Oreochromis niloticus: one gene and its partners. The protein of the gene in region 4 purifies or fractionates together with the protein of the main gene of each other region. This does not show direct contact. Links are inferred from orthologs where the notes say so. Each region holds a gene or a part of one and is shown on either strand. Other genes may lie near its edges. The genes, in order: srsf3b, lsm4, prpf3 and 7SK snRNA methylphosphate capping enzyme.

Region 1 (7,088 bases), on a different chromosome or scaffold from region 4:
GATTCAGAGCTCTGAGGCATGAAACACCAGCAGGATTTCCATCTTAAGGTAATTTGATATCGTACTGTGGATCGGCTCTGATGTGGGGAATCAAAAACCCAGCACACCATTTGGGCCACCATCTGTATGAATTCAGTCCACTGCACTTTAAGGGAAAAATGTACAGAAATTGGTACCAAAATTTATTTTTCACAGGGAATAAGCCTCGTGAAACAGCCAGGCTAAGATCTCAAACCGGGAACACACACACACACACACGAAAAAAAGATCTGATATTCATAGGGGGTGTTTAAGGAAAGTTTTGATGTGACTTCATAATTCTGCTCAGAGCCCCAAGACATACCAGATGATTATCTATCATCGAAATCTCTGGAAACATGATGTTCCAGATATTTGATGTTGGTCCATCCCCCTTTGAAACAAGGACTACAGAAATGGTGGACGACAAAATGACAAACTTATGATCAAAATAATAATAATAAAAAAAAAAAGAACAACCCTTTTAAACCAGCTGTCTCTTCACTTTTAAAACTGTAATCAGCAGTGTACTGAATGAAGCAGGAAAACTTACTAGTATTTTTGGTTTTCAACAAGCTAGAAATGACGAAAGGGAGGCAGACTGTCGGCCGGGTGGGTAGAATTGGCTGAATAGGACTGGCCAGATGCTGCAAGGTGATTAGGTGGCAGGCAGATGGGGGCTGGCTGTGGCTTTTTTCCTGCTTTAATTGGTTAGCCGAAGGCTGCTGCTGGCAGGTTGTAGACATTTGGGAACGTAATACGCTGATTGGTCGGGAATGTGAGGTGGCCGCTGCCGTTTGGGTTAAGGTTGAAGGAGGAGGAGGTTGAGAACGGCATGCTGAGGAACCAATGGGCTGGTGCAACCTGACGACTGGCCATGCCTGGGTCATGTGACAGCACCAGCCAAGCTGATTGCGGCCCGATGATCAGCAGTCACATGATGCTGAAAGAGGACTAGTTGATTGACTCAGAGGGTGGTGAGAAGAGGCATGGTGGTGGCTCTGCAACGGGTTCATTCTTATTAATATAGATGAAAAATAAAAAGCATCCTCAAACAAAAAGAAAAAAATTTGCATCACATTTGGCACTTTTATTCCCCCCAAAACGTATACTTATACTTAGCCTATACTTTTACCGACTGCCTAAATCTGTTTCCCCACACCCATTTTTGCCTTTTTAAAACAGTTCAAATGAGACTGCACAAAAACGTGCGTTTCAAAGGAAGCATTTGTGCCTTAAGTATAACCTAGGTCTTGCAGACCACACTTTAGATGCCTCAGAAACAGAAAGGCAGCCCTCTCTACATTCTGAAATAATGCCCCTTTTTCCACTATATGATGGTGAATGACTATCTGTGTGGCTCCTTCCATAAAATGACCATTAATGTCAATGAAGATGAATCTGCAAGCCTTAGGCATTGCAACACCCACAAATATATAATCACCAGAAAAGGTCACAAACACTAGAAATACCTACACTGGAAACCCAAATGCAATTAAAGGGAACTGTACTGTGGGCAAGAAAGTTGAACCGGTAAGTGACCAAGCAAGAATAAAGTGCAGAATAGATTGGTTATCGTGTCCACTGGCCAACAACAACATGTATGTCACCTGCGTCTGGGTGGTGGGCTACGCCGCCTGTAGTCGTCTCGGTCTCTAGGACGCCTGCTCCATGAAGGGGGAGCACCCCGAGTGCGGCTACGCTTCTCGCCAGTAGATAGCTCCACACGCACCCGACAGCCACACAAAGTCCTGCAAAAGAAAAAGAAAAAGAAAAAAAACAAAACATGAAAAGAAAGTATTTTTCCTCATTTCCAATAAAATGACGTACTTAGCACACTTCAGTGGGCCATTATTTGAATGTCTGAAGAGTCTAAATGTCTGCTAATGTAATAGATGTGATGACCAATAACACATTATCTTTGTTAAAAGTGTGACTGCATGAGAGGAGCTCTCCTTTCTGCGGAATGGGAGCAATGTACTGAACTTGGAGGAAAGAGTAGTACTGATCCAATAGCAATACTTTAATTTAAGTAGACTATTCATGTGGATGCAGCGTTCTTCCCCTGAAAACGCCATGTCCAGATGAACAGAGTCCACTTTCCTGACCTGGATGATTGAGCATGCATAAAAACACTTGAATAGATTGCCACCTACCTTCCATCAAGCTCCCGCACGGCATCAGTTGCATCTCTGGGATCTTCGAACTCTACAAAGGCAAAGCCTGGGGGGTTCCTGGCCACCCAAACACTCCGGAGAGGACCATAGTAGCCAAATGCTCTTTCTAACTCTGTCTTGTTTCCATTGTTGCCGAGATTTCCAACGTAGACCTTGCAGTCAAGGGGACAGTCACGATGCATGACTGTATCTGAAAAATGAGCAGAATAATATTAATGTTTTAGCTCTAAGACAAAGACTGGTCACACTCTCTCTCGCTCAGCCATGAACCACAGTGCAATACATGCTGCCTAATGACCCACAAACGAATAGAGAGCTTGGCCTACTATCTGCGCTGGATTTGCAGGTTATGCTAACGGAAGCTAAAAAAACCAAAAAAACATCCAGACGAAGCGAATCCCAAAATGCCTTAGTTAACTCGTTTGCTTTATATCTCCAACTATATTGTTGCATATTCGACGCTGCACTGTGTTTCGAAGGTAATGATAGCTAACAGCTTATTTACGGGGAGCTAAAATGGCTGCCGCCTACCGAGGCCTACTCAGCGGTAGCGGCACTCGGCTAGCAGCCGCAGAAATTTATACTATACATTCACATATGTGAAGTAAACTCACAACAGGTCGTTTTACAAACATATTACAACACAATAAGTTGAAACGCTACCGTTTTAGATGTAAATATCAGCTCAGATGATCGATTGTGACCCGGCTAAATTGTGCCTTTTCGTCTTCGGTGGAAAATGGCGTGACGTCAGTGGAGTAACAGGATGCCACTTCCGAGAGGGCGGGGTTAATGTCGCCTCCTTCCTTTGCCTAACCCCAACCCCCGCAGCTACACTTCTGTGCAAAAGTCTTGAGCCGCGATTTGTCCAAGTTTATACATTTACCAGCGCTCAAGGAAAAATTATGTTACTGTTACTAACGAGTTACATAGCATAGTTAAATTGATGTAAAGTATTTCTTCAAATGATATTGAGAGAAATAGAGATATTTGAACTAATAAAGGTAAATAAATTGTACTCTGTACAATAAAGCACTTTAGGACTCTTCTTCTCTCGGTTGCTCCCTTAGGGGTCTCCGCCACAGTGGTCATCTGGTCATCTGTCTTCATTTCACCCTATCCCTGGCCTCCAGCCCTCATCATGCTCTACTTCACTACATCCATGAATCTTATCTGTGGTCTTTCGCTTTTTCTACTGCGTTGCACCTTCATTTTCAACATCCCTTGTAAAATATATTCACTATCCCAACTCTGCACGTCCAATCCATCTCAGCCTTGCCGCTCTAACTTTGTGTCCAAACCTCTTCCACCAGCTCCCTACCCTCACTACTGATCACAATGTTGTCTACAAACATTATAGTCCACATAGACTCCTGTCTGACCTCATCTCTTAGCCTGTCCATCACTCCTCCAAACGAGAAGGGACTACATTGCCGATCCTCTGATGTAATCACCCGCCCACCTTGAATCCATCCTTCACTCCTACCACACACCTCACCCCTATTTTGCTGTCCTCGTGTCCTGCACCAATCTCACATACTCACCTACTTTTTTTTTTTAACAACCCTGACTTCCACATACAGTATCATAGTTCGTCTGTCTATACCCTTTCTGATAAGTGACAAGGGTGATAATTCGTTGTGACTGCAAATGCAAAATATCACTTTATTATTACTGAGATACTAATGTATAAATGTAATGCATATTGGAAAACAGAAATTTTTCTGTTTTTGAAAAGAGTAAGTTGTGGCTAATAAGATAACTTCATCATTCAGAAAAGAAGTGGGAAAAAATAATAAATAAAACGTGTTATGGTTGTATTTCCTTGGCAAGATTTTTCTAAGATTTTTCTGCCAGTGGTTTTCCAACATAATAGCTTGATCCACGGATAACTGATACACGTCCAATTTCCTGAGTACAAAGGCTGCTTTACTCCCTGCCAAAACAAATGAGTACACCGTATGTTCATTGACTTTATTTACAGTGTGGAATTGGGACATACTTCGTGCTTAGATCACGACTAAAATGTGGGGGAAACTGTAACTGTAAAGTTAAAGTTACATACGTCCGCCATATCTCACAAAACAGAAAGTACTATACTATAACGGGATCTAACATGTCAAATTTGGCCAAAAAGGCAATATATATACATTAAAATATAAATTAAAGGACGCGTTCATCATTCGTTGCGTGCTATCCGAGTTACCCTGAACGTAGCTTAACACGCGAGCCGCCCACTCAGTCTGTTAGTAACCGCCCACAAAGTTGGCCAGCCAGGTGACAGGAGAGCCAGCCGGGAAACAGCACGGACCACGTCCTGCCTGCGTTAAGAAGTCGACTACGTAACGATTCACAACCAAATCAAAGTCGACTAGGCAAAACCACCTGCTTAAATCCTGCGTTTATTGCCTGCTCTCACGTGCCCCCAATCTGACAGTCTCTTTTCCGTTAGCAGTTGCGACGTAACCAGCTAGCAGTTCGAGGACACCCATAACATAACGCTAGCCTCTGACGTTAGAGAAGGCTCAACGGTTGGTTGTTGTATTTCTGTCCGGGTAAAGATAGATAAGCCAGCGGCGAGATGTCCGAACCGGTCGGAGAAGCGAAGCTGGAGGTGAAGCAAGCGAGCAAAGAGGTGAAGGAGAGCGAGAACGTAGCGGAAAAATATTCAGCCATGACTGTGAGCAAAAACAGCGAAATAACCATGGGAGAGCTGTCGACTGTCTTCAGCGCTGTGCCCACTCACAAACCGGTTAAAAAGGTAAGTCTGCGCCAGGTGTAAGCATAACGGCACCGTTGGATATTAAAACAAACCTCCAAGGCTCTTTTTTTTTTTAGCGCGATAACAGCACTTTATAGGTGCTGTATCTTCTTTGTTTAAGGGTATTTGTATAGTCAGACTTAGCCTTCTTTTTGCACCTTGAATACATTTTACTAGAGCTCAAAGACTCCTGATTTTAAGAAAATATATATGGTACTAATGAGTTATATGTCACAGGGGGTTAGGGTATCTGTGGTATCATAACAGTCCACACACATTGCTATTGTGTGTGTGTGTGACAAGAGAATTAAAAAGTTGTTTAAACCCACATTAAGTAATTAAAGAGTCACACGTCAAGTCTCAAGCAATTTAAGCATTTTCTGCATGTCTATAATGGCTCACACCTCTAATAATAACACTAAAACTTTATAATTGTGCATTTTTATTCACATATCCCCCTTATTACAAATCCCAAATTTACTTCAAGGGTCTTTACAGTTTCAGCATACTTTCAGCAGCGGCTTCTGACCTGAATTTGCGAAACAAAAGAACCACTTGTTCCCTGTAAAACTTGCAAAAATAAGTTATTTGACACACTCCAGGAACAAGGAAGAGCTGCACCTTTCACTTTTGAGGCTGAATGGACAGTGTTTGCACACTCCATATGAGTTGCACTGAAGTGGACAAATGAACACAATGCAACAGTTTTTGCATTTGGAAAGCATATAGCTCGACATGGGGCACGGAGTCTGTCAAATGCAAGCGTCCGCATGCTCAGCCAAGAACATATTAGCTAGGCGTTCTTGTTATACATGACTGTTTCACATCCTCATACCGTTTTAGGGAGGATCTTTACACTGAAGCAGTCACTAGCTTGCAAAGTCAGGAGCCAAACATTTGACCAAAGAGTTCAAAGTTTTTGTATTGTTGGATTCAAAATAGTTGTGCTCAGTTGATATCAAGAAGAACTGGGAAATGTGAACATAGAGGACATGTTGATAAGTGTTCTTTATGACAGCACAGTTGAGCTTACTGACCTTTTATTTTAAATGTAATGCTTATGTATTCTTACATATTTAGTGAAAGACATTTAAGTTTCAAGCTTACTAATTATTTACAGTCCGAATTGGAGGGATAATGGTTAAGTCTGGGCTTCCTGGAGTTGTGATATCAGAAAGACTGTAATCTCTTTGACAGGAATTTAAAATAAAGAAACAAGGGTGATTCAATCACAGATGGCAAAGAACAATATTGTAACAGACTGGGGGAAAAAGCACACACAAAAAGAAGTTTTAAATTTTCCTTAAAATATTGCCAAATGGTATGTGCTCAGATTCATTTTTTTAATTATCTAGCCCTTACTTCACTTTTAACTTTAGGTTCCATGTGATGAATATACAGACAGATGTGTCTTCCGCCCACTATATAAAACATGACTACAAAAAAAAAAAAAAGGGGTTTCATTTCCTCTGGAATACATTTTTTGTTTATCAAATGGCCGGAAATCATAGTAACATGCACAGAGTCTTGATTAAATATAGTAATACAGTCTCAATACCTTTGAGTCTGTGCTAACCACGTACTCAATCATTCTGGTAAACCCCCCCAACAGCTCACATAAAACAGTATGTTTCATTCAGTTGGGCCTTGGGACCCTGAAACCTACACCACCCTGCTGAACTATGTGGTGTTTTTCACCTAAATCGCAAGAAGACCGCTCCTCATTGTCTTCTGTTACCATGGTGTTTAGCAGGTATGTGGATGGGACACCTCAAGTCAAGATAATTAATTGGAATGATGAGAATATTTCATTTACAGTTGTTCAATTCATGTTTTATTTATATAGCGCCAAATCACAAAACAGTCGCCTTAAGGTGCTTTTATATCGTAAGGTTAAGACTCAACAATCAGACGACCCCTTGAGCGAGCACTTGGCAACTGTGGGAAGAAAAACAAAAGGCAAACTGTGGAAGTAATTGTTATGCATGTATATCATTTATTTTCTAGGCTGACCTTTAAATCTGACACTTGGATAGAAAACTCCAACACATTCCAGAAACTGCTGAGGTGGGGCAATCTCTCTGTCCTCTGTTTGCATTGGAGCACCTTGAGAGTGGAAAAATTCCTGTCAG
Region 2 (7,547 bases), on a different chromosome or scaffold from region 4:
CAAAGCAATAAAGAATAAAAAACAATAATTTAGGCTAAAGATTTCATGATTAAACTCTCTCTGTCTTGTGTTTTCAACTTTATCTATTGTTCATCTGTCTATATTTACTGACATAACTCCTATGATATCCATTTTTTAAAACTGAAATAATTTCAATAATGTCCCAAGTCACAACTAACAACATCTAATATTTATGAAAATATATGCATTATTACCTTTGCTGCCATATGGTATGTGCTCATCATTAGTGACTAATACTTCAGATGAACACGGGATATTTGAAAGCATTTAGAAACAAATATTATACCGTATCCATAGAGCAAAAAAAAATGTGTAATAAAAAGATGATATAAATAAAAAGGGAGTAATTTGTTTACTGTCTGCGGCCTTTCAGCTGAAGTAATCTAACACACTGGTGAGATCACCGAACCGGTCTGTAGCGTGTAACTATTCAATAATGCCTCCCCCCAAAACTCTAAAGGGTCAGAACTCCCACAAAAGTACTCGTTTCTTTCTGTACAGTTGCAACAGAGTGGAGCAGGAACGACCTGACGCCATTAATGGAGCAGCTTTAGTCTCCTCAACTTTTCCTCAACAGACAAAAGAGACAACGACAGCGGATAAAAGAGCCCAAACCTGTAACGACCACAGCCCGTTTACTGTTATCCATCTCCCGTCCCGATCACGAGGAACCGCTGCCTCTTTTTTCTCGGTCTTTACTTTGAACAGGGTTAGAGTGAGAGTCCACCCCGCAGAGCTGACGGCTCCTTCTCCCACACACAAACCGGAGGTACTCCCTCCTTCCGCAGGCAGCCTAAGACGTGACGTGATTACGTCAGCAAAAATACGTTTTTGAAAGATTTTTTTAAATAGTTTTTTTTAAAATTTTATTTGACAAACAGTGAGTATACAACATACGAAAAGATGAAGTATACAGAAGAACAGAACATGAACACACAAAACCAGGGGTAAAAAGAAAAAAGTAATAATTATATGAATACACGCAAAAATTCACATATATATATTGTTTTGAGAGCCTTTTTGTTGGTGGAGTCTGATATTGATTGTATGTACAATTCCACATGCTTAAGAAAATGACAGAAATATGGTGTTTTATTAGTAAACTTACATTTATGGATAAAAAATTTAGCTAAAAGTATTAACAAATTTATTATAAAAAACATTTATCATTCTTCTTGGGGAACTTAAAGAAACAGAATAAAACATTTTCCCATCGTAAAGAAAACTCCCTTAAAATATGGACAATAACAAACCTGCTAAATTCCTTCCAGAATCTCTGTGTAGAAGAACAGTACCAAAAAAGATGTGTCACAGTTTCTGGATGATCCCCACAGAAAGTACAATTAGTATTTATGTCTCTTTTAAATTTTACCATGTAGTGACTGGCAGGATAACATTTATGTAGAATTTTAAATGAAACTTCCTTCACCTTATTTACAATCAAATATTTATGGGGGATCATCCAGACTGTCTTCCAGTTGATATCTGGAACATATCGGTTCCAGTAAGATATTATATATGGGAGAGAGACGATATCCCCTTGGAATAAACTGCGTATTCTCTTATTGCTGTCACCAAGTTCCTGTGAAAAGCAGATTTTCCCTACTGCTGACTCAGCTGTATCTGGGAGAGTGAGTGAGGTAGATATTGAGCTGTCAGTGTTTTTATATAACATTAAAGTACCTGAGGGTATGGCACCAAGCACCATTGAGAATTCCCGAACACTGACTGGAAAATTATATAGTGCAATAAAGTCGTTGTAAGTAAGTAGTTGTCCCCCTTTATTAACCAGCTGAGCCACCAATAGGATCGCATTTTGGACCCAAGTTTCCAGGAAAAGTGATTTATTTTCAAATAAAATATCTCTGTTGTTCCAGATGAGGTATTTGTGTGGTGAGAAGTTGTGTTTATAAATGAGGGTCCATGCTAAGAGGACCTGCTTATGGAAGGATGAGAGTTTTACAGGGAGTTTCTCAACATTGTAATTACAATATAAAATTAAAGCTGCAAGCAGCGATACGAGGGCCCTCGCACCCCGGCACGTCGAGCCAAGCCCAACACCTAAAACCAGCGCGTCCGATCTGATGTTATATTGATGGAATTCATGCATTTAACCACCAGCTAACATTTCATCTAAATCAACCATTATTATAGTCGTCCCACTAGGTGGCGCTCTAACCATTACTGACAAATGCCATAACAAACATTTCCGAGCTCGAGTCTCATCACGCCTGCGACCTTTGGGAGAGACTGGACATTGTATTTTTGAGTGACAGCAGATTACTGCTTTTTGGCGAGTGATTGAAACTCCACGTGCCACCATGACCACCCCGTTTCCCTGAACGTAAAAAGCTTCGCAATTTAACATCACAAAGGTCTTTAGATTCCACACACAGGAGATCGCGGCAATATGATGAAATCCCTTGGAGGAGTTCGTCAAAGAACGAGGCCTGAAAAGAGGGGAAAATGTCGCCAAAATTACACATTCATTTTAAAATAGCCGACTTCCTGTTGGATTTGGGATATTGCTCCAAGAGACTTTTTTGTACATCTTGATATCTCCCACAAGCTTACCAGGTTTCAGACTCATATATAAAACACAGAGCAGGGGCTGTTGTTTTGAAATTGTGTAGGGGGCGCTGTGGAGCCATTTTGCACTATTCAAGGAAAGTGATCACATAACAACAAAGCCCTCATCACATTGGAGGTGTGCGCCAAATTTCAAGACTTTTTAAACTTTCCAAGCCCCTCAAAAGCCACTTCATCTTTCATGGTGAACCGCGTTGCCACCAGGGTGCGCCGTTCAGTTTAAAGTCACAATTTTCGCACTGAAGCATCATGATGGACTGATCGTGATATTCACCGCTTTTGAGGTGGCCACGACGAACCTGTGAAAACCTGCGTATTCCTGACAATGGTCACATCAATCTGTTCAGGGCGGGTCTGACATCATGCCTGTAAAGTCTGGTGCTGATGCTGATCAGTCTGGATTTCATTGAGCTATACTAATTTGTTTCTTCATGGCGAGACATCAAAGTTCGCCATGCTGCTGGGGTCACACCCTTTCGCGAAAAGTCACAGATTTCACTGTAAAGCAAGACCAACTCCTTAAGGCTTTCCTGGAGAAATTTGAGGCTGCAGATGTCACCCATCATAATACTGAACCCCAAAGTATAAAACATGACATTTCCTGCTCCCACTAGGTGGCGCTGTCCCTGATGTCAAATATGGCAGTTGAAATATGTTCAGGGCTGGAGCCTTATCGTATGTGTGCTCTTTGGTCCAGATGGGACAATGTATGACAGAATGAAAGGCAATAATATTTTCATGGCAAGTCATCGAAATAACCCCTCCAAACGGGTCTTATACTTTCCTGATAGTGGTTTTAATGGGGGTTTTTTCTATTACCTCTTTGTCTGTTTCTATTGCTCATTTATTTATTTGTTTAATTAAAAAATATAAATCCATCCATTTCCTGCGTTGAAGATGTAACTTCAAAAATTAACATTATTTTCATTTTCTATTAAACTATTTACATTACTGTGCAAACGTCTTGAGCTACCCGTTTTTTTATATTTTGCAAATAAAATGGGAACTAGGTGCATTGAAGCATGTGCAAACATACATGAAAATACAGAATACAAAGCAAAAAACAGTCTATACAATTCTAACCAGCATGAAAGTCAATATTTACCTTAATTCTTCAACACAACTTGAACTCTATTAAGGTTTCTTGTGACCGTTTTTTAATATAGCTGTTTACTTAAATGATATAGGTCAGTGTAAGTGGTATTAGAAAGAAAGAAAAAAATAAAAAGCATATCTCTGAAAATGGTCAACTATTAGGATGGACTGTAAATGAGTTAAAAAGCAATGAATTTCTAAGGAAAACCTTTGAAAGACCTTCAGAAAGCCTGGAGAGCTGTTGCTAATAACCGCTTTAAAATAAGAAGAAAGTGGTTATGGTTGTATTCTACCTTATAATGATGAACAATGTGTTGAACTCTGTGTTTTTGGCTGTTGACCTGCTTTTGGATTTCATGTAAATCGTGTGTCTCATATATGAAAACTTTTCAGTTATTTGGATAATTCTCCTCCATTTCCCAGTGTATTTGTTGACTTTAACAATCAATAGTTTTAAACAATTGGTAAGGGACTAAAAATGTAAGAAGAAAGAAGAATAGTATTCCTTAAATAACTAATCTAACTGTTTGCTCACCACCAAAACGCCATACAGTCTCCGGTTATCAGTTTTTAAATCTGTGAGAAAACATGGTTCAGATAAAGGGGATTTTTTGCTAAATTAAACACCCACTGGTGAATTATCTTTATAAATAAAACAAATGAAGGATATCTTAAGTATATCTTGGGAATAGGAGAGATGCAGCATATAAAAAATGCAATTTTATTTTTATATCTAATTATTTTGATATTTTTTACTTTACTTATTCTTATTAAAGTGGCACATTTTAATCGTTGCACCTTTCATTTGTTCTCATTTAATATTGGAAATGCGTGTTTCTGACAGTAGAGGGCAGCATCATATAATACAGTCATGAATGCGCCTCGCAGCACCGGAAGACAAAGAGTAACAGTAGGTGGGAAAATCGTGTTAGCAAGTAAGACACTAAAAGAAAAAAAGAAACCATCAAAATGGTGAGTTGTTAAAACTTTTCTTCTCTTCAGTGGCGCTGAGAGTGCTAGATTTTCAGCTAGCACTCTCAGTGCTAGCAGCATCGCCTTGCCTCTCCATACTCGGTACGTTAGCTATGTGAAGTTAGCTTAGCAGCTAAATTAAGCATCGATTACGTACACTAGTTGTTTTTAAATAAGTGCAGACTTAATACATAGCTTTAGAAAGCTTTTAGGTCATGCTCGACGTGCTGAGGCGGGGATTTATAATCTTATTTAGCTCCATACTCTTGCAGTTTTAAGGTTACTGACAGTTCATAGGAGTCGGTGAGTAAACGACGTAGACCTGAAGGCACTCTTAAAAAACCTGAACATAAGAGCACCTTCATGTCTACGCTAAACACCGCGGCTATGGAGACGTTTTCTTTGGACTATAACACTCCTGGCTGTTTTATGTACTCTCGCTTCAGTGCTCACTTCGGTAAATGCCGTTGATTACACACGTTTCGCCATGTTTGACCTGGTTCTCTTTTGTTTTGCAGCTTCCCTTGTCTCTGCTGAAGACTGCCCAGAACCACCCTATGGTGAGACTGACTTGGACCATGTATACAATTTTATATAACAGGCTGTAAAAAAAATATAATCGTGAGGAGAGAAAGTGACATCTCAAGATTTCTTACATGTAGAAAGCAGTGAATTGTAAGTGTGTGAGCAGAAAATGATTCAGGTTTCTTTTGAAATTTATACTGTATATAATTGTGGCTTCAGCTCTCTCATTTTATTTTGCTAAACTATAGCCAGTCCTAATTTCTTTTTAGAACTTTAATTGGCACAAGTTCAGTTTATTTTTTGTAGTGAGTATTGAAACTTTTAATACAGCTCTGAATTCTGAAAATATTCTAAGACAAGTTTTTTCCCCCCCTCATCTTTTCTCTCTGTAGTTGGTGGAGCTGAAGAATGGAGAGACGTACAACGGTCACCTGGTCAGTTGTGATAACTGGATGAACATCAACCTGAGAGAAGTCATCTGCACATCCAGGGTAACACTGACCTTGCTCTTACAATAAAGCTCTAGATTAATGACTGATGGTTAGAAAAGACAGTTTTCAGTGTTGTGTGCAGAGATATCATCGTTTTATATAAAGGCTGAGTAAGTTATTCACACTTTTTGGTGGATACACCTGCTGGCTGGCTGCGCTCTGGTGTTTGTGCACAGCCCTGCTTTTCTCTAACTGTTCCAAAAACACTGATTTGGACTGAGCCACACATTACTCTAGCTAAATAGCTACAGGGAATTTTGAATGGGAAAGAGGAATGAGAGTGAACTTCTGGATTTTTTTTTCCTTTTGCTGTAAATACACTACTAAAGTATTGTTTCAGTACAGATATTTCTATATATGTAGCTGTTTGGTCTTACGAGAGAGTGCTTTTTTTTTTTTCTTTTTCTTTTCTTTTAATCTTGAGTTAATTGTTAAGCCAATTTGATGGAACGACAGCCCCACTCCCCTCTCACAGGATGGAGATAAGTTCTGGAGAATGCCTGAGTGCTACATCCGAGGAAGCACCATCAAATATCTGCGAATCCCAGATGAAATCATCGATATGGTGAAGGAGGAGGTGGTGTCGAAGGGGCGTGGACGTGGAGGCGCCCAGCAGAACAAACAGCAGGGCAAAGGAAGAGGAGCAGGTGGCCGAGGTGAGTGGAAGCAGCTTTTGTTGTTCGTGCTGGATGTCTTAATAAACATGGGACAGTATTGAGTATTGTTTCCACATTTCTGTCAGTTCTTTCCAGAGTGTTTGTAAATAAACAAATTTACACCTGATAAATGTAAAAATAAATTATCCAAGTTCAACTTTAATTTCACTGAGGTTAAAGAATTATCGAATCCCTAACCATTCTAGGAACCCATGACTATTATCGTAATCATAGCTGAAATTTCTGACAGCTTCTACCACATATGTTTATGGATGATTTGACCAACAGGAGCCTCATAACTTTTTCTTATAAGTGTTTAATTTAAAGTCTTTTCATATCTACTACCTTCCTTTTTTTGTTCACATGAGAGGATTGTGGCTGCTTCACATCAAAACCTGATATGATTTGTAAAAGATATTAAACAGATCTTCCCAGTTGGGCAGCACGGTGGTGTGGTAGTCAAAAATGTGGCCTCTCAGAATGAAGGTCCTGGGTTTGATTGCATTGTGGTTTCTGTAGGCCTCCAAATCTGCTCGCAAAGTTGGACATCCACAGATATTTTGGGGATTTGAAGGATTTATGTTAACTTAAGGTACACTCTTGAAAGTCTGTACTGCTAGAGCCGTAGTACCAGATATTTCCGTATTTCCATAGACCTAGCTAAGGTACTTTTCTTAGAAAATGGAGTTTTAATTCCCAAGTGCATCTTTCACCCCTGATTTTCTTTTTCCTCTGACAAACTTGTGATAGTCAGGTGTGAGGCATTTCCAGTTATTAAACGTATATTGGTCTTTACTTGGTGTTGGTGGCAGGTTCTTTATAACTTTACATTTTTCTGTTTTCAGTGATACATACCAATTCTCCTTAACTGTATTATTAATTTTATTTATTTTCAATGAATTTTAAATATTAAGATTTGTTCATATTTACAGGGGATTGGGAATACTTTCTGTTACCTGATCTAACACAGGCTTTCTCTCACTTTCTCTGTAGGTCTGTTTGGCAGCCGTGGCAGAGGGATGACCGGCCCCGGTCGGGGTCAGCAGCAGCAGCAGCAGCAGCAGTCAGATAAGAAACCAGGAAAACCACAGGGAATGAAGAACCAGCACTGACAGACGACGCTGCACCTCTGACAACGTCCTGTTAATCAGTGATTCTTCCTTCAGCACATGAAGAAAAAAAATCTCTTTGGTGTGTT
Region 3 (7,623 bases), on a different chromosome or scaffold from region 4:
TGCTGGCGGAACTGCTCTCTCTTTACTGCTCGAATGTTAGCTACACAGGGAAAGAAAAATGTTTTGTGGAATATCAAAACAAAGAAAACACATTGTGCATGTTTGTGTACAAATATTGGATCACTGTATCCATGTATGTACCTTTGAGCGTAGGCATGCGGTGTGTGAGTTCAACCTCTTTGCCACTGGCATCTACAGTTCTTCCCTTCTCATCCAGGATAAGAGGTGTCGGTTTGTTCACCTCCTTGGGTTCTACTTTGCTGTAGTTACACATAAAGAGAAAGCAGTTCAATGTCAATTGAGCACAAAGACATCACCTACTTTTTTCATGTCTTGTGCATATTTTAAAATCTTATATTTATAGTCTGACATCACTTACGGTGGAGCAATCCCCATGGCATGTAGATTAGCTAGTGCCACAAAGTTTTGTGGCCCAGTGTTCCCCAAAGCTCCGAGGATGCCAGGTTTCATAGCTAACTGGGACTGAATGCGAGCCTGTAGCTCAGCGGCTTTACGGGCCTTCTCAATTGCATCATTCATGAAGCTGGCAGCCTGGTAGGGAGCGATGGATGACCCACCACCAGCTGCTGCAGCACCAGCAGTGCCAAGAAGTCGAGAGAGTGGAGGGGCATCCAGCTGCGACTGTGGAGTGGGAACAGGCAACCGCTAGAGTCAGAAAGAAATTAGAAAGGTTTCAAATAGAATTTACAGCCTGAAAAGGCGGCAGTTCTTTATTCAGTATGTATTTTTATGGGAAAGAAATCTCATTACTGTTGTAGCAGGAGCTGGAGCAGTAAAGCTTAGTTGTTTCTTCCTTTCTTCGATCTGTTTTGTGGCTGCTTCCATCATCTGTTTGATCTGTTAGGACAGCAAAAGGATTCAGAGGTGACTGACAAAGAAAATAAAGCCACTATACTTACATATACACATATATATATTGTCTACTGTCTATTGCACCAAGTATCATGTACCTGCATTTTGGTGAGCATGCCGGGGCTCTCTGATGGAGGTCCTGGTATCACCTCAGGTTGCTCCACCTCCTCAAAACGGGGGACTCGTTTCCTCTTTGCCGTTGTGCCATCTGTTGGCTCGGGAGTTTCTCGCACTGCGCCTGTGTCAGCCTCTTCACCAAACACATCCTGAGTACAACCGGCAAACACACAAACACCAATAAAAATAAATATCTTATGCAGCAATTAAACTTTCCGTAAGAATAATCAGTATTGTATCAGTGCAGTCCATGTAGAACTAAAGTTAAGTGCAATCTGAGTGAAACCTCAATTAAGTCTAATGCTGGAGTAAAGGAAGTGTAAGGGGATGTTTACACTGAGGTTTAAGTTAATCAAACTGAGGCTTAACACAATCAGACTAATCACTGCATGCATTGAATGCAATGTATTTAATTTCTTTAAACGGGTCACTTTTGCTTATGAGCGTGTTTTTTGTCAGAAAACTCCTCACCTCCAGATCTAGTTATTCAGTTATATAATGATAATATAAAGTATGAACATTTGCTATGATGTTAGGTTACCTTAAGTTCTCTCTTCCGGTTTTTTTCTCCAGATCCTTTGTTCCCACGTGTGCTGCGGCTCTCCTCGAGGGCTTCAAAAAGCCGCTCTACAAAGCCTCCAGCAGAGTCATCGAGAAAAGGACGCAGTTGGTCTGAGGACAATAAATATGAAATAATTAACACTCTGAAAAGAAAATACTGTTACCACAGAATAGCTTAAATACCCACATAAAAATATACACTGACATTTAAACTACAGCACCTACAGAAGTCACAGTCTAACAGACCAAGCAATTATTTCCCAGACAGATGAAATAAATAAATAAATAAACAAACAAACAAATAAAAGCAATAGGCAGCTTTCTTTGTACTCATAATCTTTCATTTGAATGAACAAATGACTGCAGTATTTTAACTGGACAGCAAATCTATTACCTTTGCAAACAAGCCCTGCTGATAGCTACATCGCAGATCCTCACGCCATCATTTTGTGGGTTGGCTGTCTGCACTATGTTAAGAACCCACAGCTTGGTAGTCATGTCAAATACTCCTAAGAAGGCCAGATAGGTTTTCAGACTGCTGTTGGACTCTTGCTACTTGGCTGGACTTTTTTCTCTGCAATGATGGGTGCATTTTGTAAGAAGGTAAAACAAATCACCCTGGGATATACCTCTGATGTCAGAGGCACTTTTGGCTGAATTGAATCGTCACCAGATCTCTAAATAAATAAGAGATATTTCTCCGAACTTACCTATGGTCTTCCTTTTGTCTAGTCCCTTTCCCACACAGTGCAATGCTGCAGTCACCACAGTGGGCTCCGAGAAACCCAGCACCTTCTTCACAGTGCGTTCCACCCATGGCCTCAACTCCTCCACCTCCCGCTTTGGAAGAGACATCCTCCAATCCTGCAGGACATCAAATACTTATGTCATGGATTACCGCTACTGAGCATGGTTATTACTCAAAATCTTCGTGATTTCTGGCCTTGATTAGTCCTATATCACACAAATGTGATAGTCCCAAACATGAGCTCCAAAACCCGCCGTCCTTTATTCACTTAGCTACAGCTGCTCTGACACAGACGTTCACCAGTTTGCAACTAATAAAAACTCCCACATAAACAGTCAGTCACTCCGAACTTGCTGCACTTTGTTAGTTGATGAGTGTTAAATCAGACTGATTAAATTAAAGCGCCAGCCCGTAGCAACATACATTGTTAAATCAATCACATCCGCCAAACCTCCCTGGTTAGATGCTAACTAACGTTAGCACACTGGTGTAAGCGAGCTACCATCACCGGGGAATAACTGCTTCATGAGGCTTACAAACCTTAGATTACTCTTCTATCGTAGTCAGCCCGTTTACGCCGTGGAGGTCAAATAAAAACGATGAAGACTCAGACGCGTGAAACACTCAACGTGCGAAGTTTTCTCCAAAACTTTCTGTTTAGTCGCGCGTCCGCACGACGTTTCTGTTTCAAGCCCCGGAACAGGAAATGGACGCAGCTTCTTCTTCGTGGACTTTTTCCGCAGAGTCGTTTCGTTTCAAGTGTGCGGTGTTTCCACCTATCTGCACATGTATGGAAATATCCCTGTTTTCCACAAGGTAAAACGTATTTCTCCCAAATAGTTTTAAAAATCTGAGGGTTAAGGCAATTTATTTATCCGTGAAAGTTCGTTCTTGACCAGGTTAATGTTGTGTCGTTATAGCATTATGCCCACAGCTCAGGGTTTTTCCAGGAATTAAAACTGTCTTGTGGGTGTGACTATGCACACTGCGTTTTATCCTGACGAGTTCGCTTTCAAACCCATTTTCCTTCAACTAACCTTATACAAGCCCCAACTAGTTTTCATTTTCACCAGCGAAAACACATTAATGAATCTGCCTATTTAGCTATAATACACATGGGACACATTATAATAGAGAGCCATGGCAGTCTTTGGATCCTGGATTAAAATTCTCTAACAGCACAAAATGATGGTAGAAGTCAAACGTATATAGAAAAATTTATTACACTTTTTTTTTTTAGCAGATTTGTCTGGTGATACACGCAGTCTTTTGTCCATTTAAATCAAACTAAGCTAACTGACTATCAAGTTGTTGGCATCATGTAATTGCAGAGCAATATATTTATAGAAACTCTAGCTGAACACTAGGTGTAATCGAAATAATTAGTTACTGAAATAAAGAATAGACTTGAAAATTAATGTTACTATAACAACAATATGTATATACATCAGTAAAGTGAGATTAATGTTTTTTGTTTTTTTTTTAAGTATGGAAAAAGTGTTTATTCTTTGATACATATCATGTTCTTGGCCTCTTAACCTCACCCAGGTCACCTGTTTAGGATTAAGGGTAATAATGTCTTCTAGTTTCTGAGACTATGCTTCTTCATCTTCTTGGTAAAATTCAGCATAAGCCTACCACTAAGTGGATCAGCAGTGACTTGGTGGTTGTTAAGAGGTTAAATCTTTTCCCTGGCAACTTCAAATACCAAAACTAGTTAAAGCTGGATTAAAACTAATGTTTTACATTCTGGGAACTAAGAGAGTGATCTGAATTGCAAATAAAAATCCAAATTGAAAAAATAGCTGATGAAGAGCTTTGGCAGAGAGTATTCTCATATTTCTCCTTTACAAGGTTCATGATAGGGCTTTGTCTTCATATTAAAAGCGCAGTGTTTCTATGATTTTCACAGAAGTCAAACTAGTCATAAATATTGCCTAATTATTAACCGCAGCTCAGTCATGAACCCAGTCCCCTGGTAAAAATTATCAGATGATCTCCATTTCCTTCCCCTGAATGCCCGCCTCCTGACTTTTTTCCCTCTCTTTGCATGATGTGGGTCAACTGCGTGCACTTATAGTAGTGTGAGCATGAATCAGTTGCAGAGAGCCCGAGGCTACACCAGGCTGCCAAATGACTCGCTCTGTCTACAGCAAACCACATCCATGCTTTCGCTCACAGTGCTAATGCCACGTGCAACCATCAGGAAGAGTTGCATACGCAGCATGCTTTAGTTACAACACATGCTCTTTCTCTATCACCAAAATGTCAGATAGTCATTACAGATGCATTCATTTACTCCTACTGAACAACACACCTCCATCATCATCCCCTGCCGATTCATCACTCATGTACTTAATATTTACGTCCATGTTTACAAGCACACTACAACCCAAGTTGTGTGAATATGGAAGGAAATCTGGTAGTTTAAAGGAAGCCTCTAATTAGGACCACAGAATAATACATGGAAATCTGAGGCACTTTGATTACATGCTTTTTCCACCACAACAAACGCCTTTTGTTGTTTTCACTTTGAAACCATTTTTCTCTGTGACCTTGAGGAAAATCAGAATGTCATATATCTAGTTTTCCCAAAAACAAGGTCTTACTGATCACTTATTTAAGTTATTGAGTGTAGTAAATTATTCCTTGTTCTGTTTAAATTGTTGAATGCAAGTTGCAATGCAATGTTTTGATCTGAAACAGTCTAATGATTTATATATTAGCTACTATTTCAATTGAAAATTAAATGTATTTTACCATAATTTAAGCAAAATAGTTTACCACATGGCTTCCAGCTTTTTAAAGGTAACTATTATCAAAGTGAACATTATGGAGTTAAGCTCTGTTGGTTCAGGAAAACAAGAACATTTGAAGATATGCACGTGGAGTATGTAATTGCTTCTTGGGTTGTTTTTGTTGTTGTTGTTGTTTTTAGGTATTCACTGATATATTGCCCAAGAATAACTGCTGCTGGCAAGATTGACCTCGTTGGCTGTCAGTTATGTAATGACATTTGCAAGTAGCAGTGACTATTGTTCCATTGTATGTGTTGTACAAATGTGGCTGCCTCTGGAGCTGAAAACTGATGCCAATATGGAAGTGCCAAAAACTGCATTAGTTCCTCTAGTGGCCACTTTAGGCCCGTTCCAACAAGAAGTTAATCCCAAGGGATGTTTTGGCCCTTTTCTAACAATAACTATCAGGCAACTATCCTATACAGCCACCTGGATACTGGAGTTAGGTTCATGGACTCTTTGACTGACACAGGCAGCTGGACCTGATAGGCAGAGGCAACGCTTTCCACCAGGCATGCCCGGCCAAACAAACTTCAAACTACAGCAGTTGCAATGAGCAAAGTTTGCAGGCCTGACCTCGCTAAGGGGGAACCAGACAAGTGTTTAAAATTCTTTTAAAACAAACCTAAAGACAAAAAAAGAAAGTCATTCAATAAAAATGAAGTTGTCCCTTAAGGAGTGACGAAATAGAAAGTAAGTGATGTTTATTTATAAAGTGCTAGCAATATAAAACTATGGTAGAAGACATAACAATAAAAAAGACAATAAAAATATAATTAATAATAGAATTTCAATAGAAAGCGTGGTTAAACAGAGAAGAATTCAATTGTCGAAGAGTCAGCTAAATGTACAGTAGGGAAAAATTGATTCTCCTGCTGAATTTGTACGTTTTGCTGAGTTAGAAAAAAAAAAATGCATAGCCGCTAATTTTTATCTTAATAGAGAGGGACAGAATATCAACCAAAAATCCAGAAAAAAACACATCACATAAAAGTTATGCATTGATTTGCATGCCTTTAACTGAAATAAGTGCCAGTCACACTTCTTCCTCCCACAAATTGGCTGCGTGTCCATGTGGCACACAAATTACATTCAGTCAATTACAGATACTCCCGAACTTAACTCGCTATGTTTAGAAAGCACACCTGCTCACAGAATCAATTTCTTTCTTTCCAACTTTGACCACCAGTACCAAAACAGCTGTCCAATGACATCAAGGACAAGATTGTAGATCTACACAAGACCATCAGCAAGAAGCTTGTTGAGAAGGTGACAAATGTTGGTGTGATTATTATGAAATGGAATAAATATAAATGGACCACAGTCACCAAGAACACAATTGGTAAAACACTATGCTATAAGGTCTCCCTGCCCAAGAAGGCACAAAATCCCTCCTGAGATGTGTGCAGACCTCGTGACCAACTAAAGAAATATCTTCCCACTGTGCTTGCCAACAGTTGTTTCTCCACCAAGCACTAACACATTTTTTGGGGATCAAAAACCTACTTCACTCAGTGACATGCAAGTCAATTTGTAACTTTTATGTAACGTGTTTTATTTTCTGGATTTTTGATTGATATTCTGTCCATTCAAAAAAAACTACCGTTAAAATTACAGACTGTTAATTTCTTTGTAAGTGAGCAAACCTTCAAATTCAGCAGATGATGAAATAATTATTTTCCCCACTGCAGCTGGAATGTTAGACTTTTCCAAACCCTTGGTGCCACAGACTGAAAGACTCTGCCCACCCCCTAGTCTTCAATCTCATACAATGAAGTAAGCAAAAGTGAGTTTAGTTATTTATATAGCACCTTTAAAGATATTGATCACAAAGTGCTAAACAAAAGAAAACAAAAAACATCAGACATCAGTACATTGAAATAGTTCATTAAAAGCAATTGTAAAAAGATTTTTTGTTGCTTTTAAAAAAGCTGAACAGAGTTTGCAGACCTAAAACTAAAGGGGAGAAAGTTCCAGAGTCCTGGTGCTACTACTGAGATAAGGCTCTGTCACCTTTAGTTTTTACCCTTGCATGTGGCACAGCAGGCCTCGGTCAGATGACCTTAGGGATCTGCTAAGGCCATACAGATGTAAAAGTTCTTAGATGCATGCTTGCGCTTGACCATTCAGAGCCCTATAAGTGAGAACCAAAATCTTGACATGTATTCTCGAGTCAATGGGATGCCAATGGAGCTGGGAGAGTAGCAGTGTGACATGAGAAAACTTTGGTGATTTGTTCAGAAGTCTGGCAGCATTCTGTACAGTCTGCAAACAGTCCAATGATGCTTTGTGTAGGCTGCTCAATTACGAGTTACACTAATATATACACTATGTACACACAGATATACAATAAATAACTGGTGATGATTTACACTAATCCAATCTCGAAGAAACAAAAGCATGAATAACAGTTTTTCAGTTCTGTTTGTGAGATAGTACTATTTGGCAATATTTCGTTAGTGATAAAAATAAAAACAAACCAATGACTGAACATGACCAAAGTAAAGTAAAACCAGAATCTAAATT
Region 4 (7,358 bases):
CAAGTTCTCTTGAGAGGCTGGTCAGTCCTCATAATGCACTCACATTTTTGTGCATTTTTACACATTTTATTCAGTTACCCTAACATTAATTTATAAAGCAGGACACACACAATGTCTAAATTTTTCTGAATTTGCCATCTAGGTTCAAAATATGCAGCAACACAGAAATCTGAGCCATATTCCCGAAAGGAAAAAAATAAATAAAAAAATCCTCTCTTACCTTGACGAAGGACACATTTGAAGGAAACTCCCCAGGCTGCACCGTGGATGTTTGTGTTAGCGGGGGTGCAGCAATGGGACCCCTGGAGATCCGTAGGGATACAGGAAAAGAGCAGCTCTCAGAGTGATCAGCGGGGGGTGAATCACAGTCTTCTTGCTCCATTTCCTCTGTTTTGCTGCCCTGCCTCTGGGTCTCCATCTCATCCGTGTGACACGACTCATTGTCATTTCCAGTATCTGCAGGGCCACTTTCTCCTTTCACAGGTTTCCCATTTTCGTCCCTGCTCTCGGCTTCATTGTGCTCTTTTTCTGTGCCCGTGTGACTCGCGTTTCCATTTGTCTCCTCCTGTTTACTAGTCTTTTTGCCCTGCATTGCTCGCCTGGCCTCTTGGGTCTGCAGCTCAGACAGATAATGTCTTATGTTTTTACGAGCTGCATGTATCAGACCACTGTCAATGTCTAGGCCCAATATGCGGGCGGGTCTTAGCATTTTGGCGATATAGAGTGTTACATGGCCTGAGTTGCACCCTAAATCCAGTACTTCTTTACCTCTAAACCACTCGGGACGAAGCAGACGTAAACGAGGGTCTTCACTGCAGCCCGGGTTGCGGTATCCATAATACTTGTTGTAATTCCCATACTGGAACTTCTTCTGCTGTTCCTTTGTATGAGAGTGGGGCTGCTGGTGCTGGCGTATTCCAGGGCCTATTTTGGAACCAGATTTTGGTGTGTGAAAGGAATTTCTTGCTCCCCCTGCACCAAAATGCCTGTCTCCAGGTCCCGACTTGCCAATTGGAGTAGAATGGGTGACAGGGGGCTCCATTTTGCCCGAGTTGCGCCTTCGCTTGCGTCTACTTGTGTGCTGGTACGGTGCCCCTAAAGTGGAATCCTCCACGGATGCAGGCGGCATCTCCTCCTTGCAGCTTGCTGAGCTGCAATCTGTGTGCTCGTGGGACTCTGCCATGACACTAGAAACACTACCGGATTCGTTGTTGGATTCTAGTGCAGAACATGAGGCTAAGGTACCTTGAAGAGGTACAGAAGGACCTATTTTAACTTCACTTTTTCCTGATTCTGAGAGGTTCATTTGTGTGGCTGAAATCCCAATACTGCCACCACTCCCACCTCCACCCCCATGGTGCCTGTTGCGGTGTCTCTTCCTTCCTCCACTCTTGAAGGGAGAAGCCAAAAAGCTGCTGTCAGCTATCCCACTGTTCAGGTTCAGTGGGTCTGTGATGTCCCTGGGGATGAGTATCTCCACAGGGTCTCGACTTTTTGCTGGCAGCGGAGAGGATTTGGGAGTCTCTGCATTCAGCGCCTTGTTGACCTCCTCATCCAGCAGGCTGTTGAGATTCAGCGGGTCAAAAATGTTCCCACCCAAGAGGAAGTTGGTGGGCAGGACAGAATCGCTCTCAGAGTTGGCCCTTCGTCGCCGTTTGCCAGATGAAGGATGCTTGAAACTAGAATTTGCTGTGTAGCGCCGCTTTGTTAGCTTCGTTTGTTGTTGCTGTTGTTGTTGTTGTTGTTGTTTGGAATGATGAAAGCTATTTCTGCGATTGATGCTATTCTCGTTCCCTCTGGCTCTCTGTCCAGCATTGTCTGCGAGGGTGAGCGCATCAGTTGTGCTGGTGTGTTTTGGCGAGGCAGCAGTGCCCAGAAGAGGGCAAGCAGCTGCAAAGTCAGGGGTAGCTGCAGTTTCCTCCATCATCACAGACACACCACCGTAACCTCCAGGACAATCCGTGAGCTGCAGAGATGACGTCGAGCTAGGCTGTGGACTGCCCATTTTTGCTGTATCCTCATCAACAGACATCTCTTTTGATTTTCAGAGCTGATGAAGACATAGAAGGGTTTTTTGTTGTTGTTGTTGTTTTTGTTTTTTTTGGGGGGTGGGGGGCAATTTTCTGAGCCTGAAAAACAAAAGAAACAAAGAAGTTACAGGAAGGAAAACTGATGCCATAAACTTAACATTCTTTTAGATATGGTGAACAAAATTGCTTTAAACCTGGTGCCTCCTCATTGTTGTGATTACACACATACACACACACACACACACATACACACACACACACACACACACATACACACACACACACATCTGTTAAGTAAAGTAACATAAGTTGGCTAATATTACTACAAAAATATGCTCAAGGCATCCTGGGATGTCCAGGCACTTGCACATCCAAGGGCCACTGTATCTGTATTTATACCTATGAGGTGGGAGTTAAAAAATAACCCTTTACATTCCACTGTGATTTCCTAATAACAATACAGAAAATTCATCTTTTTAGATACAGTGAATCTCTTGGCTCACACCCTTATCACATCTGTATTGTGGTATCTGAAGCGTGTCTACACAGGGGTTGCTGACCTGAAAAGTTTAGGAGTCCCCGTCTGGCACTGTTACCCAGTTAGCAAGCTAGCTCTTAGCTTCTCTATCGCGGGCCAAGAAGATTGAAACGTCGAGTAAACGTTACGCTCTACTCCGGCCAGAAAGCGCTACCAGACAAGCACCAAAGTACCCACCTCGATATGCTGCTGCCCGAACCCCACTAAAATCGTGAGTCACACTCACGAAAGTGATACCATTTCCCAGATGGCCACGCGTAGTCAACAGGGTAGCAACCACCATCAAAATATAACAGTCTCACCTCGCAGCTCGCGGCTCTCCCCGCCTCCGGCCGGACTGTCACTACCCCGCACTCTCTCCGCTTGAGCTAACGTTAGCGCAGCTAGCACACAAGTGTCCCTACAGCGACACAACAGTGCTAAGCTACGCAAACAAGCGAGCAGGCACGGCTCGGGTATCCTGCACTGGCCTGTAGGCAGCAAAGGCTCCGGTGGCCACGAAACTGTCTTGTCGACTTCTTCAGTCAACTCCTAGTGGGCCAGTGTGAGGCAGGTTGGTGAATAAATTATTCCATTCGCTGACAGAGGCGGCATGGCGGCGCATCCGGGCTCCGAGCTGTAGCCCAAGATGACTGGGGCGGAGATCTCTGACTGGTGGCTGCGAGGCGGTGAGGAGAACTCCCCTCTACGATATTATAATGAGCCTCCTACTGCAGGTAACATTAGAGCCGATGATAGTTTTGTTATTGATTGATTAGCAGCTTAAATTTAATTCATTTATTAGACAATATATGAAAGGGAACAACTTAACAAAACAGGAGGGCTGAGGGACACTCTAAAGTGAACATAGAGCTTTCCCGCCTTGGTTAACTACCCTGACTATCAATTCAGCTAGTTGAGATTAGTTTCTTTGTTGCTACTCGATTATTCGACTAATTTGTTTAGTCCTAAAGTCAGACTTTAATCCATACACCCTTACAGCCCTAGTAGACTAATAGTAGAGTAGGCCTTATTAGTAACCTGAGTATTGCATAGCCTGCACATTAGGTTTTTATAAAGTTTACTGATAAGCAGCAACCTCACAGTTTCCTTTTGTATGTTCTTTCCCAACTGATGTGCATGCACTTTTGCAAATGCACGTTTCTAATTATGCATGTCAGAGGTATCAAACATGAGGACTGGGGGCGAGAATCAACCGGCAAAAGCAGCCCACTGAATGGCTTTGGAAAATGTGAAGGAGGACGTAAACTATTTATATTCAACAGAATTTTAACAACTTCTACAGCGTTCCCCCGTGCCTTGGCCATTTATACTACAACAAAGTAAATAATACACAAACAATTAAAAAACATAAAGTTCCAGTTTTTCACTATCTACTGTAGAAATGTATGATTTTTACAGTGGGTTAATCGTATAAATAAAAGACATTCAAGACATTGACAAAATGTTTTTGTTTCAACATTTTAGAACAGTCTTTGCAATTTTTCTCTAATTTTACACATTTATTTTTTATGCCCTTTTTCCCCTAGTATTAAAATATTTCAAACATTAAATATGTAGTGGCCAAACAATCCCTGTAGTTATAATCCCTAAAAATCACAGCTACTGCCTTTTCCTCACACACACACACACACACACACACACACACACACACACACACACACGTCCTCTTTTTAGTACAGAGTTTTGTAACATGAAGGTATATAGTGTGATGAGAGCTCACACTACACATCTTCAGGCATAATCACACCCTTTGTAGCTACATGCATACCTTCATAGGGTGTGAACTTATTTTTGCTTTTAGTTTTGAAACTGGATGCCTCTGTCCCACTGCAGCCTTTGCTTAACTGTCTGCATGATGTCAAAGACTGATTAACACAGAATTTCCTCACACTAAATGAAAATAAGACTGAAGTTATGGTTTTTGGAACTCATGCCCTTTGAACAAGTTAACTGATACCCTCGGTCCTCTTGCTTCTCATCTTTCTCACACCATAAGGAATCTCAGAGTGTTTTTAGACAGCTCCTTTAAATTAGAGAAGCAAGTGTCCACAGTTCTGAAAACAAGTTTTTATCAGTTACGTGAAATTGGCAAAGCTAAGCCTTATCTTCCTCCAAGAGACCTAGAAACACTTATTCATGCCTTCATCACCTCTAGACTGGACTACTGCAATTCTCTCTATTTGGGTCTTCAATACTCATCTCTCCATCGCTTGCAGTTAGTCCAAAATGCTGCTGAGCGTCTTTTAACAGGTGTTAGAATGTATGAACATATCACTCCAGTTTTACCAAATTTACACCGGCTCCCTGTAAAGTATCGTATTGATTTTAAGATTCTTTTATTTACTTTTAAAGTTTTAAATAATATGGCGCCCAGTTATATAAAGAAATCCCTCAACATGTATGACCCCAAAAGAGTGCTGAGATCATCTAACTAGATGCTCTTAGCACAACCGAGGTCTCTATTGAAGCATAGAGGAGATTGGGCCTTCGCAGCAGCAGCACCCAGACTCTGGAATAATCTACCAGAGGATATTCGTACTTCAGAGTCTATTCAGTCTTTTAAATCACGTCTTAAAACTTTTTTACTTTGGCTTTTAATTCGAGTTCAGTTTGAGTACCATCAGGCCTGTTTTATGTTTTTAATGTTAATTCGTTTTCTTCTCATTTATCTGTATTTGTTTCTAATTTATCTATATTTGTTTCCCTATTGCTTTCTCTTGTTCTTAACTGATTGTGAAGGACTTTGGTTAACTCTGTTGTTTTTAAATGTGCTATACAAATAAATTTTGAATTGAGTTGAATTTTGGTACCATAGCTTTGATTCAAACTTCAAAGTTAATTTAGATGACAGACTTTACAAGAAAGCCCTGTAAAGTGTGTCATAATTTCTATCTTGACCAGTGTTTACAGCAGGGTTTTCAAACTCATTTTACATGTGAGGTCAAATACAGCGCATGTCAGTAAAAATGCCCTTTCTGTCAGTTGGAATAAGTTTAGATGCACATTTTATTCCTGCCATATTTCAGTATAAGAAAAAATAAAGTGCAATTTTAACAGCACATCTCAGTTGTACTGCATGGTAGAGAAATGCCACTCTGTTTAATTAAAGAAATTTGTCAACATGAATCTTTTGGGCTTAAATTGTAAAACATAAATGTGTAAAATTACAGAAGAAGTTCTGGCAGCTCATTGTGCAGACTGTCCTGTAATTATAATGGAGAAAGTTTTTCTTAACTCACAAAAAAATGGAAAACAGAAATTTCTATTGTGGGTTGTGTGGGAAAAAAAGAAGCAAATTTTTTTGTAATTTAATTGTTTATCTATTACGTTGGTGTACTATTAAAGACATAATCAGTCAGAAAAGCTTTACAATTTTTGAAAGTAGACTTAAAACTCTACAATGTATGAGGGGTGGCTGTGGCTCAGGTGGTAGAGCAGATCAGCTACTGATTGGAAGGTTGGTGGTTCGATTCCTGGCTCCTCCAGTCTGCATGCCAAATATCCTTGGGCAAGATACTAACCCCAAATTGCCTTCAGATGCGTTCATCGGAGTGTAAATGTGTGTGAATTATGTGCTTATTAGTTGCACTTGAGTTTAGAAGTGCTTGTATGAGTGGGTGTCATTGGGTGAATGAGGCATGTTGTCTAGAGCGCTTTGAGTACTCCGGGAGAGTAGAAAAGCACTATATAAGAATCAGTCCATTTACCATCTCCTTCACATTTTTCAAAGATGTCTGATTCTGGGCCTTTTGTTTAACACCCCTGGTCTAAACTGAGCCTTTTATAAACCTCTGCATCAGCTAGAAATTGTGTGCAGTGTACAGGCAGCTTCTTTTCACTTCCATCACCTTTGAATTATAATTATCAAAATTTTAAGACACGGAAAACTTTGATTTTGGTGGTGACAAAGAAAACATTTACTGAAAATGATAGATTTTCAGTGAAATGATAGATTTTCAGTAAATGTATAGCTTTGTCCGTCATTGAAACAGAAACCCTAAATGCATAAAAAAATAGGTGTGAACTGAACTAAGCCTCACTGTGTTATGGCCGCGATGTTGAGCTGATTTTACATCATGTCCACAGTAAAGTTACATAAAGTGAGCTTGACCTAAATCATAAATGTTTGAAGTTATAGAAAAGGTTCTGGTAGTTCATTATTCAGGCTGTCCTGTTATTATAAATTAAAATATGAAGTTTATACTAACTCAAAGAAAACGTCCGTGTACTTTGATTTTGGTGGATGGATCAAGTAAAAGTTGTAAAAGGTATGAAACTACAATTAAAAGTTCAAAAAGCACTCCTTGACATTTTATAAACTGAGTGGGCTGGGTTGGAGTCCTCTTTGTTATCATTTTTAAGCAGGGGCAAGAGATACTGGGATTTCTTTTATCTTGATTTTAAAACCTTTTGGAAGATAACATACTCACTTAAAATAACAGTTAACAGTCCAACCCTAAAGTGAATCTCTGGACATGTCATGTTTTATACCCTGTATTTTTTTAGCTAGTTTTTTTTTTCAGTTTGGTTTTCTATAATACAAATTAAATGGAGGTAGCACGGTGGTCCGGGGTCTTTCTGTGTGGAGTTTGCGTGTTCTCCCCGTGTTTGTGTGGGTTCCCTCCGGGTACTCAGACTTCCTCCCACCGTCCAAAGACATGCAGTTTGTGGGGATAGGTTAATTGATTAATCCAAATTTCCTATAGGTGTGAATGCGGGAGTGAATGTGAGTGTGAATGGTTGTCTGTCTCTGTGTGTTGGCCCTGCGACAGACTGGCGACCTGTCC

The links.
Region 1: the proteins of 7SK snRNA methylphosphate capping enzyme (region 4) and srsf3b purify together in Homo sapiens (affinity purification with mass spectrometry; 3 studies listed by BioGRID and IntAct, with this or other methods). This does not show direct contact. The link is inferred for Oreochromis niloticus from reciprocal best matches to the Homo sapiens genes MEPCE and SRSF3.
Region 2: the proteins of 7SK snRNA methylphosphate capping enzyme (region 4) and lsm4 purify together in Homo sapiens (affinity purification with mass spectrometry; 3 studies listed by BioGRID and IntAct, with this or other methods). This does not show direct contact. The link is inferred for Oreochromis niloticus from reciprocal best matches to the Homo sapiens genes MEPCE and LSM4.
Region 3: the proteins of 7SK snRNA methylphosphate capping enzyme (region 4) and prpf3 purify together in Homo sapiens (affinity purification with mass spectrometry; 4 studies listed by BioGRID and IntAct, counting the BioPlex papers as one, with this or other methods). This does not show direct contact. The link is inferred for Oreochromis niloticus from reciprocal best matches to the Homo sapiens genes MEPCE and PRPF3.

The regions. Positions count from the first base shown.
Region 1 is NC_031970.2:21,883,396-21,890,483, forward strand, and holds the start of srsf3b (serine/arginine-rich splicing factor 3b), read right to left. Parts: upstream 3,004-7,088; 5' UTR 2,859-3,003; intron 2,386-2,858; 5' UTR 2,378-2,385; coding exon 2,175-2,377; intron 1,770-2,174; coding exon 1,629-1,769; intron 1-1,628. Other genes in the region: S-adenosylhomocysteine hydrolase-like protein 1, read left to right, coding at 4,777-4,956. UniProt on the Homo sapiens protein: Splicing factor, which binds the consensus motif 5'-C[ACU][AU]C[ACU][AC]C-3' within pre-mRNA and promotes specific exons inclusion during alternative splicing.
Region 2 is NC_031980.2:32,135,587-32,143,133, forward strand, and holds the start of lsm4 (U6 snRNA-associated Sm-like protein LSm4), read left to right. Parts: upstream 1-4,539; 5' UTR 4,540-4,674; coding exon 4,675-4,677; intron 4,678-5,195; coding exon 5,196-5,237; intron 5,238-5,594; coding exon 5,595-5,693; intron 5,694-6,168; coding exon 6,169-6,349; intron 6,350-7,342; coding exon 7,343-7,461; 3' UTR 7,462-7,547. Other genes in the region: pyroglutamyl-peptidase 1, read right to left, coding at 637-670. UniProt on the Homo sapiens protein: Plays a role in pre-mRNA splicing as component of the U4/U6-U5 tri-snRNP complex that is involved in spliceosome assembly, and as component of the precatalytic spliceosome (spliceosome B complex).
Region 3 is NC_031976.2:21,498,645-21,506,267, reverse strand, and holds the start of prpf3 (U4/U6 small nuclear ribonucleoprotein Prp3), read right to left. Parts: upstream 3,002-7,623; 5' UTR 2,840-3,001; intron 2,416-2,839; 5' UTR 2,407-2,415; coding exon 2,262-2,406; intron 1,663-2,261; coding exon 1,532-1,662; intron 1,140-1,531; coding exon 972-1,139; intron 859-971; coding exon 772-858; intron 667-771; coding exon 380-666; intron 261-379; coding exon 142-260; intron 41-141; coding exon 1-40. UniProt on the Homo sapiens protein: Plays a role in pre-mRNA splicing as component of the U4/U6-U5 tri-snRNP complex that is involved in spliceosome assembly, and as component of the precatalytic spliceosome (spliceosome B complex).
Region 4 is NC_031975.2:12,333,121-12,340,478, reverse strand, and holds the start of 7SK snRNA methylphosphate capping enzyme, read right to left. Parts: upstream 3,010-7,358; 5' UTR 2,871-3,009; exon of another isoform or gene 2,746-2,870; intron 2,725-2,745; exon of another isoform or gene 2,591-2,724; intron 2,130-2,590; 5' UTR 2,033-2,129; coding exon 221-2,032; intron 1-220. UniProt on the Homo sapiens protein: S-adenosyl-L-methionine-dependent methyltransferase that adds a methylphosphate cap at the 5'-end of 7SK snRNA (7SK RNA), leading to stabilize it.